Caenorhabditis elegans: one gene and its partner. The protein of the gene in region 1 purifies or fractionates together with the protein of each later gene. This does not show direct contact. Each region holds a gene or a part of one and is shown in the gene's direction. Other genes may lie near its edges.

Region 1 (4,839 bases):
TTTTTTTACTGGGCTTAATGAACGGCGTTTAATAAATTAATTTTTGAATATAAAGTGATTTTCCAGAAATGCCGCGCCTCTATCTAGGAAAAATTCCATACAATGCACGCGAACGCGACGTTGAGCGATTCTTAAAAGGATATGGCAAAATTAATAACATCTCAATGAAGTATGGATTTGCCTTTGTCGATTTTGAAGATTCTCGTGATGCTGAAGACGCATGCCATGATTTGGATGGAAAAACCATGGAAGGAAGGTAATAAAATAATAAACCAAAATTAAAAATGTTCTAACTTTTTATTTTCAGCTCTATGCGCCTTGTCGTGGAAATGGCTCGCGGAAAACCACGCGGCAATGACCGTCATGGATCGAGATCACCACGACGACGTTCCCGCTCTCCTAGACGTCGTTCACGTACTCCACCAAGAAGACGTTCCCGCTCTCGTGATCGCAAACGTTCTCGCAGATCCCGTTCCAGAAGCTCCTCCAGATCCAGATCACCAGTTCGTGAAAGTCGTCGCAGAAGCGAATCCCGTTCGCCGAGCCCGAAAAGAGACTTGTAAGTTAACTTTAATGTGTGGATTGTTTTGGAAGGGTGCCACATCACGAACCGTTTTAGCCACAGTTCAATGAGAAATCAATATCACCTACAAGCCCACATCGCAATGGCATACACATAGCTGAGACAGTTCGAGCACAGTATGGGTCAACTATCAATACATTTCAATTCACTTCTCGTTCAGTCCCCACAGTTACCAAAAGCCGCTGTTTCGATTAAAAGAGTGAGATCCCTAACTTTGAATCAGACAACTTCGCGCAAACATATCGGTTTCGTATTCGAGTCCTTTAGATTCCGACTCTATTAAATGCAAGAATTATATTTTAGGAAGCGTGAAGCGTCGAGATCTCGTTCACCACTGCCAGCAAAAGATCGAAGCAGAACCCGAAGTGGATCTCCCCCAAAGGTAATTCATTTATGTGCTTGTATAGTAAAAATCATATGGTTTCAGAACGGCGGAGATAGAAAGCGCAGCGTGAGCCGTGGAAGAAGTCACAGCCGAGATGGCAGCAATCGCAGTGTGTCTCGCTCTCCGTCTCCAGGATCTCCAAAGGATTAAAATTGTGTTTTTATACCGTTTACTGTTGTTCATTTACCACTTCTATTTTATAATATTTGTTCATCCTCAGAGCTGTTCTGATTTTAATAATTCCCGAATAAAACCGAGCGGAGACTTCCTTCATTTTTTAAAAATATTTAAAGGCACATGGTATTATTCACACAGGTCTCACCACGATTACTTCAACTACTGTACAATATTGGGGAATTTGAAGGTCGAACGCAATTTTGGGCTAATTTACTGCTTTGTTATTTTTACTGTTCTGGAAATTGCCGTTGTACTTTTTATAGTCATTATTATTAGAAAAAACCTTTTACGAGATTTTCGAGCTAATTTTTATACTCATATATTGAAATAGAACGCAAATTTTCGAGTTTTCTAAACAAAAAGCTTATCGTTTTCTATTCTCTAAATTGAAAAGAGTTGCAAACTAGGACAAAAACCGAAAAAAAGGCGAATTTTGAAAGCCTGCGAGTGATGTTTCCTTGAAAAATCTCGTCGAACATTTGTCGGTGTGTGTGTATTTGCCCCTTTTCGTTAGTTTTGTACAGTTAATGTTTACTAAATCTCGCGTTTTGATAATTACTGTTTAGATTAATTCACACCGCACGAAGCATGAATTTGGCACAGTGCCAAGAAAGCAGTCGACGAGAGGCTCTTGCGCAGCCGACGTTTGGGGCGGGGCCGTTTCGTTGTCGTCCTCTCGTTCTCTTGCCGGCGACGAGGCAATTCGAAACTCGCGGCCATCGCATTGAGGCTCTCCTCCCCTCCTCATTCTTCGTTTCGTCCGCTGTTGAGGAGTGTGAGTAGGACACCGCTTCCTTCGACCAGCCGGCCGCCTCTAGCTGTCCAGTGAGCGTTGCGTGAGTGTCAGGCACAGACTAGGCCGACGGTGGACGGGCGCGCAGCGCCGGGCCCTGTGAGGCGCGAGAGCCAAATAATAAGATGTCTCTTTCCGCGATAGAGTTGTTCGCGCTCTTCCTAGGAAAAAGTTTTCTAGAACATCGTTTGTGTTTTTGAAACGACAACACATCTAAATTAAAAAAAAATTTTTTCCTCAGTAGCAGATTTTTAATACAATAACTCGATATTTTTTTCTCAAAACTCAATGATATTTTCAAATGTTTCTTCTATTTCTCATTCAGATTTATTCACCAGCACTACATTAACATTTGTTTTACAGAAAAATGTCCGACGTTGCCGAGACTGTTGTCGCTCAAGAGCCAGAGGTTGTCGAACCAGTCGAGGAGAAGCCAACCGAGACTGGATCGGACGATGTCGTTGTGATTGATGAGAAGACCAGTGAGCAGTGAGTTTTTGTTTCATAATTTGCGATTTACCTGTGCATTTTTCTAAAACTGTAGTATATAGGTCAATTCTATGGAAATCGCGAGCCACTTTTTTGTATCCATCTGCGCGCGGGCGTTGAGTGGTGTTTTCCTTCGAGGTCACTCGTAAGACGTGAATAATGTGGGACGGTCATAATGGTAGAAACTGTTCTGTGAAAAACTGAGGGGTCATTCATATTTCTTTCTATGCCCTTTTATTTGTTCATAGTATGTGTATTGGTGCAGTGTGCAGAAGGCATGGTGCCATAAAGAAGACAGGCGGCAATGGTGAAAACAAATACGGCGTAGGGTAGTGAGCAGGCAACAGATTGCACTAATCCGTTTCTCTACAATTTATACTATTTTTGTAGGAACGGTGAAAAGACAGAGGAGACTCAAGCTGAGGCCACCGAGGAGAAGAATGAGACTGAGGCTGAAGAGGCCGATAAGGATAAGGCAGTCGAGAACGGAGAAGCAAAGGACACCAACGGCAACGTAAGATAGTTATATATTATTTTTGTTGACCAATTTTTATTTTTGCAGGATCGTAAGCGTGTGTCCAGCGCCCACGAAGAGGCTCCAGTCGCCGACGCAGAGGAGGATGCTCCATTGACCAAGAAAAGCAAGGTTGAGGATGAGGTGAGAACGAAGGGCAGGAATCTAATTAGGCATTCTAAAAAGATATAGGATAGGCGTATGCGACTTAGCACTAATTATGGGATATATCGGGGCGTAATGTGTGCGATGTACACGAGCAGTTCTGATGAATTCTTTATGAATCGCTTCATCTTCCGTTAGGGACTAATATTCAATGTCATTGTCAATAATTCGATTTCCCTTGCAGGTTGACGTCGCAGCCTCTGGAGATGCCCCAGCTGTCGCCGCCGAATAGGTTGCTTCCCAACAACAAATGCCACTTCATCCTTCCTCAAATTCCCCGTTTCAAAATCAACATCTTTATCATCAATCTGTACATGTTGACCAAATCCATTAAAAATGTACTTGTCCGATGTTTCGACAATTCTATTTTGTCTCTAAGCTGATCCCATCTTGATTTTTCTTAATATTGGATAATTCCCTCATCAAAAAAAGAATCTCATCATCTCCCTGGTGTTGGGGTTTTCCTATCGTTCCGTTTAAGTTAATTCGGATTCCCCTCTCCAGGTATTTGTTAGTTTTAACATTGTTTTATCCAACCTCTCACTGCAATAAAGTTAAAGTGGCAGAATCGTTGCATAAGCATTAAAGAAACAAGTGTTTTGAAATTGAAAATCTAGAAGCAATAAGCACGAAATAAATTATCAAAAGTTAAGATATTAGGCAGAGGTAAGCTTGCTTTCTCCAGCTTCATCTACGATGACCTGGAACTTTGGTGGTGGTGTGAGGCGCTCCAGCTTCTCCTCGACTCCATTGTCAACTTCTTGAATTAGCACTGAAGAAAAATATATTTTGGGGATATTTAAATTACTAATGGTTTAATTGAACTCACTTTCTTTTGGGAAGAAAACGGAAAACGAGACAAGTAGAATGAGGATAAGAAGAGAAACCGAAATGGTAGCAGCAAAGTTCAAGAACAGGATTCCGCAAGTTGTAATTTGTGCGGGGCTTGGAATTTGGACAGTAAGAGATCCAGTGAAAGCATGTAAAATGCTAAGCCAGAAGTCATTGATCACCTTAAAAACAATAAGATTCAAAGAGACTCAGATATGATGAAGATACCTGATAATAGAGACAAAGGCCAATGAGGATTGCCCAGAGAATAAAGAGACCAAAGGCCGCAAGAATGAGCAGGAAACGACGCGAACGAGTTAGTGATGGCCACTGAAACCTTATTCTTTTTAAAATTAAAAATGTAATCATCTTTATAAAATTATTAATGAAAACGTATTATCTATACGACTTTTTGTGGAAAAATACTGTGCCTGGTCTCGACATGACAAATATTTGGTAAATGCGAAAAGGCGTGCGCCTTTAAAGAGTACTGTAGTTGCAAACTCTTGTTGCTGTGGAATTATATCGTAGATTTTTCCTAGTCTTTCTCACGATGTGTTAAAATTTATATGTTAATGTTCCAATAGATTTTTTTCATCAATGCAATTTTTTATTAACCTTAAAGGCGCGCACCTGTTCGCATTCTACAAAAAATCGTCGTTTCGAGACCGGGTACCGTGTGATTTCACATGTACAGTTGGGATCTATGAAATTCTAACAATCTCGAACAATAAAAAATTTTCAGAAGTCTTCCTGGTTTCAAAAACATTCCGAACAAATAAAGTAAGTCATGGTCCTGTTTAATAAATACTTATGTATGCCTAAGCTTTTTCGTGATGTCATTGAAATATTATTTCACAACAAAAATATAACCTTCTTCCACTAACCTTTAAAACTGGAGA
Region 2 (5,115 bases), on another chromosome or scaffold:
GGAGAACTGGATTACTGAGAACTTCGCATTCTGGGAATTTGAAGTGAATGTCTGATTCGAGTTCGACAGGAAGAAGAACAGGCCTGAAAATCATAATAAAATTTTTAGTGACAATATTTTATAAAAACTCACAATTTTTCCAACATCTTGATTCTGGATTGAACCATTGGAGCTCTTTTAGCGTTGTATCTGAATTTGTCAATAAACTCTTGAGTATGCTGTCTCAATTGCTGTTGTGATTCGTATTCTCTCTGCTGTTGCGTCAACTTTTCCTTCATCGTCTTCTCAAATTGATCGTAATTACCCTTGTAGTGATCCAATCGTCTGGTGTGCAAATGAACAATGTCCGTGCAAATTTCGTTGAGGAATTTACGGTCGTGAGAAACCGTCAAAATAGTTCCTTCCCAACCTTGCAAATGTCCTTCCAACCAGTAAACCGCTCTCATGTCCAACATGTTAGTCGGTTCGTCAAGCAACAAGAGATCTGGCTTCACGAATAGAGCTCTGGCAAGGGCAACTCTCATACGCCATCCTCCAGAGAACTCCTTTGTTGGACGCTTCTGCTCGTCTGGAGTGAAACCGAGACCATAAAGAAGGGAAGAAGCCCGTGCTGGAGCTTTGTCAAGTTGGAGAGCTTCCATTTCGATGTAAAGTTTTGAAAGCTCGTCATTCCATTTGGTTTTCTCGGCGTCATTGATATTGTCCTTGTTTATACGACTCTGAAATTTTAATTTTGAAAAATGAATTAATTTTTGTTCAAATTAAAAATATATATTTCAAGAATGGAATGAATTCAAATCAGACTTTTTTGTCATATTATTCTCATTGAATATTAATATCATTTTCTGAATATCTCACTTGCAGCGTCTTTTCCCTATCAAGAAGTGTTTGTCTCTTCGTATCTGACATCAAAACAGCATCCAAAACGAGTGTATCATCTCCTTCCACTTCCTGTTCCACAGACAGCATTGAAATACCTGCGGGGATCTTCAACTGTTGGCTTGAAATCATTTTAAGCAGCGTCGTTTTTCCGATTCCGTTTCTTCCAACCAATCCATATCGTCTTCCAAATGCCATTGTGACATCGGCACATGAGAGAAGTTGTTTCGTACCGATAGAAATATCCACACTTTCCAGTTTGATATCCTTTGAGTTGGCTCCACGGGCACCCGAGTCACGAATTGGAGCTTGGGAAGCCGTTGCTGATGGCTCATTCTTCTTCTTCTTCCGTTCAACAGGTGCATCTGCACGAGCTTCTGCTTTCGCTGCAGCACGATCTTCGGCCTTAGCAAGTTTCTTCTTATCAACGGTAGTTGGAGTATCTCTTGTTTGTACTTTCCAGATGCTTTGAAGAGCTTCAAAGTTTTGATTTTCAGCAGCCATGTCAACAGTTTGCTCGAGACGTTTCGTAGTTGCTTCCTGTTGTTTGATAGCCTTTGGAAGGTTGTCTCCGTGAAGTAGTTTCAGAAGTTGTTGACAAGCATTCTTAGCTCCAACCTCGCAAAGATTTTCCACGGAAGCTTGAAGATGTTCACCAACGGCATCCATAACTTCATCTAAAGATGTGATCTCATCGGAATTCTCTTTGAGAATTGCAGAGACATAGTCTTTGATCTCAATTGGAAGTGTGGGAAAAGTGGCCGTGAGATAGCCAGGAATTGCTTCAACATTTGCCATTATTTAATTGTTCAAGAAGAACTCGTAACCTGGAAAAAATTCATAACACACTCGTAAATAAGTTGCGTTTCTCGTATCATACCCAGCCAATTGAAAAAGTGAAAGACGATGAAAACCGGAATGAGACTTGGAATCAGAAGAAGATAATACGTTTGATCGGAGATGAAAGAAGCTGTTAGCTCGTCCACCAAGTGAGATTCCTCTAGCATACACTACGAGTCCTAAAAAAGTAAGGTTTTATTTATTGGGTGGTGGAAACTGTATCATTATCCAAATGACTAAAATATTAATTTAATAAATACATGTAAACTGCTATAAACTCGACCAAAAGCAATTTATTCATCCGAAAATACTGTAAATGTGAGAGAAAACTGAATAAAACGAGATATGCGTCAACAAAATCGCCATACACGCCAGTAATCGTCCTGGCGCGTTTGCAGTCTCTAACTTTTTTTTGTTGCGAAACTGAATTTTTAGCTGGATTTCTCTTCAACTTACACGTTTTGTTCATTTTTTGTTAGTTATATTTAGAAGCTCCAAAAGCCTAAACTATTCCAATTAGCAAATTCATTATTGTCAAGACAGCCTTCTGCCAAATAACTGCAATGAATCTCTGATACGCGCGTGACGTGTTGCGTCGCGTTTTCTTCTCATTTTCAGTAAATTCCAGCTAGTTTGCCACTTCCTATCATTTGTTCTTTGTGCACAGTAACTTTACATGTCATATTCGTTATTTGAACTTCACTATATTAGAAAACTGTGCTATTGTCGTTTCATTTTAGGCCGTTCAAAATAATTTTACTCTCTAAATGTTCCACGTTTCAGTTCCGACTCGCTTTTCACAACAACACAAAATGAGTGACGATTTGAGCGCTTTCTTTGCTAAAAAGAAAGACAAGAAAAAGAAGTCCGCCGTTAAAATCGAAGAAGTCGGTCAAGCACTCGAACGAAGAGCCAAGCGTCAAGAGGAGTATGAGCAAGAGTCGGAGGATGTTTCTGAAAAGCGGGTAGAAGAGGAGAAGGCCGTGAATCCTAACGAAGAAAGTGAATGGATTGAATACGGAGAAAGTCAAGGAAGGTTAGTAGATTATTCGCTCCGATTTCATTTAAATATCTCATTTATTGCAGACTAGATGGTCTGAAAATCAAAGATATGGGTCTTGAAAGTGAACAAGATCAAGTAAATAACGAAGAACCAGAAGATCGCGAGGTTCATGAGACAAAGACTTGGGGACAAGTTAGCAGTGAAAAGAAAGCGACGGAGGAGCCGGAACAAGCTGTGACGATCAGTGACAAAGCAATGGCTGCCGCTTACAAGCCACCTGCAATGAGAAGACCAGGAGCTCCGTACAGACCAAGAGCTGCTGCTGCAAATCTGGATATGGGTAGTGACGCTGCCTTCCCATCATTAGCGGATGCAAGCAAAATTGAGAAGAATAAGAAAGAGGAGAGCAAATCACCAGGAGGTTGGGTAAAAGCTGGATCCGGTGGAGCTTGGCCAGGAAGTTCGGGCCCATCTTCAAGTGGGTCTTCAAGATCGTATCCGACAACTGCTGGAAGTGGACGTGATAGTGCTCTTGCAGCTCTCAAGGTATGTGTCAAGGAAAAATAATTACTCTAAGTTTTCAAGGTTTTAAAACTATCAAAAATCATTTTTATTATTCTTGAAAATGTCTAAATTCAACGTTTCAGATGATGAGCGCCGCCAATCCAGCTCCAGCGCGTAACGAGCCAGCACCAGCCCCTGCAGCTGCTGCTCCAGCATCTTCGGGAGCTGCCAAGGCTGGATCGTACGTTCCTCCACATTTGAGGAAAAATCAATAATAGGCCCAACTATTTTCTTATTCTTCTGTTTTCTGTGTTCCCATTTCCTTATTCATTGTTTTTCTTTATTCTATAATATCCTTTTTTTGGTTAGTATTCTCATAATTTAGTACATTATTAATTTCGTCCCTATCAACTTGTTATGTCCCAAATTTCTCTTATCATTTCGTGCTTAAACGCACTTCACTCTTTATTGTTGCTCTACCAATTCTTGAACGACCCACAATACCCCGTGAAATTTATAGGGTAGTTGACAGCGGACGGTGTGGTTTGAGAATTCACGTGAATCGAATTTTGGTATCTTTTTTCGAAATCTTATGCATTTCGAAGGTCGTCTCCTATTTTCGGTGTCACGCCAAAAATCTCAAATCCGCCTGTTTCGCGTGTCGTCGGTTACGGTTTCAACGAAAGAAAGTTTCAAAATGTTTTCCCCATGAGCACTTTGCTCTTTTTCTACTTGTGCTATTTATACAAGTGCTCTATCATATTCTCTTTGCCCAATTCCCTTTCGGATTCAATCATGGTGTCTTTTTCTTTCGTTTCCCTTTTTTCTTTTTCATATAAACGTTTATACATTCCCAATGTGCTCGTCTTTGTTATCTTGCATGTGTGTTTTCAATCCCAGATTATTATTCATTTATTCAAATTATAACGATGAGGAACTGTTACTCGGTGATCACATTGCTTCGTACATTTCATTCTCGTTGGTTAGGTTCTCGCTGCAAAAAAAATTAAATGTAGGTTCATTGAATAGTTATTTGTAAATTTCCCCACTTTTCAAATCGAACTCGGCTTTTCTCTGAGCCAACTCGATGTAGATCAGGTTCTCAGCGCCCAAAATATCATGATAGAGGTTCGAACTGCCGTCGAGATCGTCAAGCATCTCTTTTGCGCGCACGTATCTGAAAATTCCAGTCGTGCGCGTAATTTTTCAATAAATCACTGGAATTTGTTTTTCAAAGAAATATTTAATTTAACTCTAGTTTTAAAAGGCACATTTTTCTCTTACCTGTCCACATAAGGTCTACCATGAGCTCCGAGGCTTGAGTAGTTGGTCATCATTTCGGATGACGTGGAAAGTAGATCTGGGCGCCAGCTTTTCAGCAGATAGATAAACGCAGTCTCAGTAGTGCCAGACGGAAGTTTGATCTGAAATTTTCATGTTTTTGAATGAGAAATTCCCCATTTTCAGATATGTTTTGTAAGTTGGTATTGTTATGATTCAACAATGAAAAATAAAACAAACGGTCGAAGACGTTTACATTTTTTTTTGAAAATTTCGTGTCTACTTTCTACAGTAACCCGCGCTGTCTGAATGAGCTCATTCATATTATCTATTCCATAAATATCCTAAATCAATAATTATAGGTTCCTTCATATACACTTTATTTTAACTTCCTCTATATTTTTCAGCCAAAAAAAACACCAAGTGGTCCCAACCATTCATCCATCCAAGTCAAATGTGCACACCCATCTCTTTTCGGTTTACACTCTGTCTGTTTCTCTAAATCTCTCATTCTTCATCATTGTCTCTCCTTCTTCTCCTTTCTCCATTCTTCTGGGTGCCTCTAGGCCTTTCTCGATTTTCCATTTCTTCACGTAGTTTTCTCCCAG

The links. Proteins that work in one complex are often made in the same cells at the same time.
Region 2: the proteins of T28D9.1 (region 1) and F42A10.5 fractionate together in Caenorhabditis elegans (co-fractionation; one large-scale study listed by BioGRID). This does not show direct contact.

What each region holds. Positions count from the first base shown.
Region 1 is NC_003280.10:6,490,101-6,494,939, forward strand, and holds T28D9.1 (uncharacterized protein), read left to right. Parts: upstream 1-2,301; 5' UTR 2,302-2,305; coding exon 2,306-2,427; intron 2,428-2,684; exon of another isoform or gene 2,685-2,817; coding exon 2,818-2,941; exon of another isoform or gene 2,942-2,989; coding exon 2,990-3,085; exon of another isoform or gene 3,086-3,290; coding exon 3,291-3,338; 3' UTR 3,339-3,678; downstream 3,679-4,839. Other genes in the region: rsp-5 (putative splicing factor, arginine/serine-rich 5), read left to right, coding at 69-256, 308-559, 887-965, 1,011-1,118; T28D9.11 (uncharacterized protein), read right to left, coding at 1,708-1,893; twk-49 (Potassium channel domain-containing protein), read right to left, coding at 3,763-3,878, 3,936-4,119, 4,166-4,267, 4,825-4,839.
Region 2 is NC_003281.10:6,170,188-6,175,302, reverse strand, and holds F42A10.5 (Protein CDV3 homolog), read left to right. Parts: upstream 1-2,502; 5' UTR 2,503-2,531; coding exon 2,532-2,755; intron 2,756-2,805; coding exon 2,806-3,268; intron 3,269-3,369; coding exon 3,370-3,501; 3' UTR 3,502-4,081; downstream 4,082-5,115. Other genes in the region: abcf-3 (ABC transporter domain-containing protein), read right to left, coding at 1-83, 133-719, 859-1,677; F42A10.9 (Gamma-glutamylcyclotransferase family protein), read right to left, coding at 4,178-4,220, 4,511-4,650.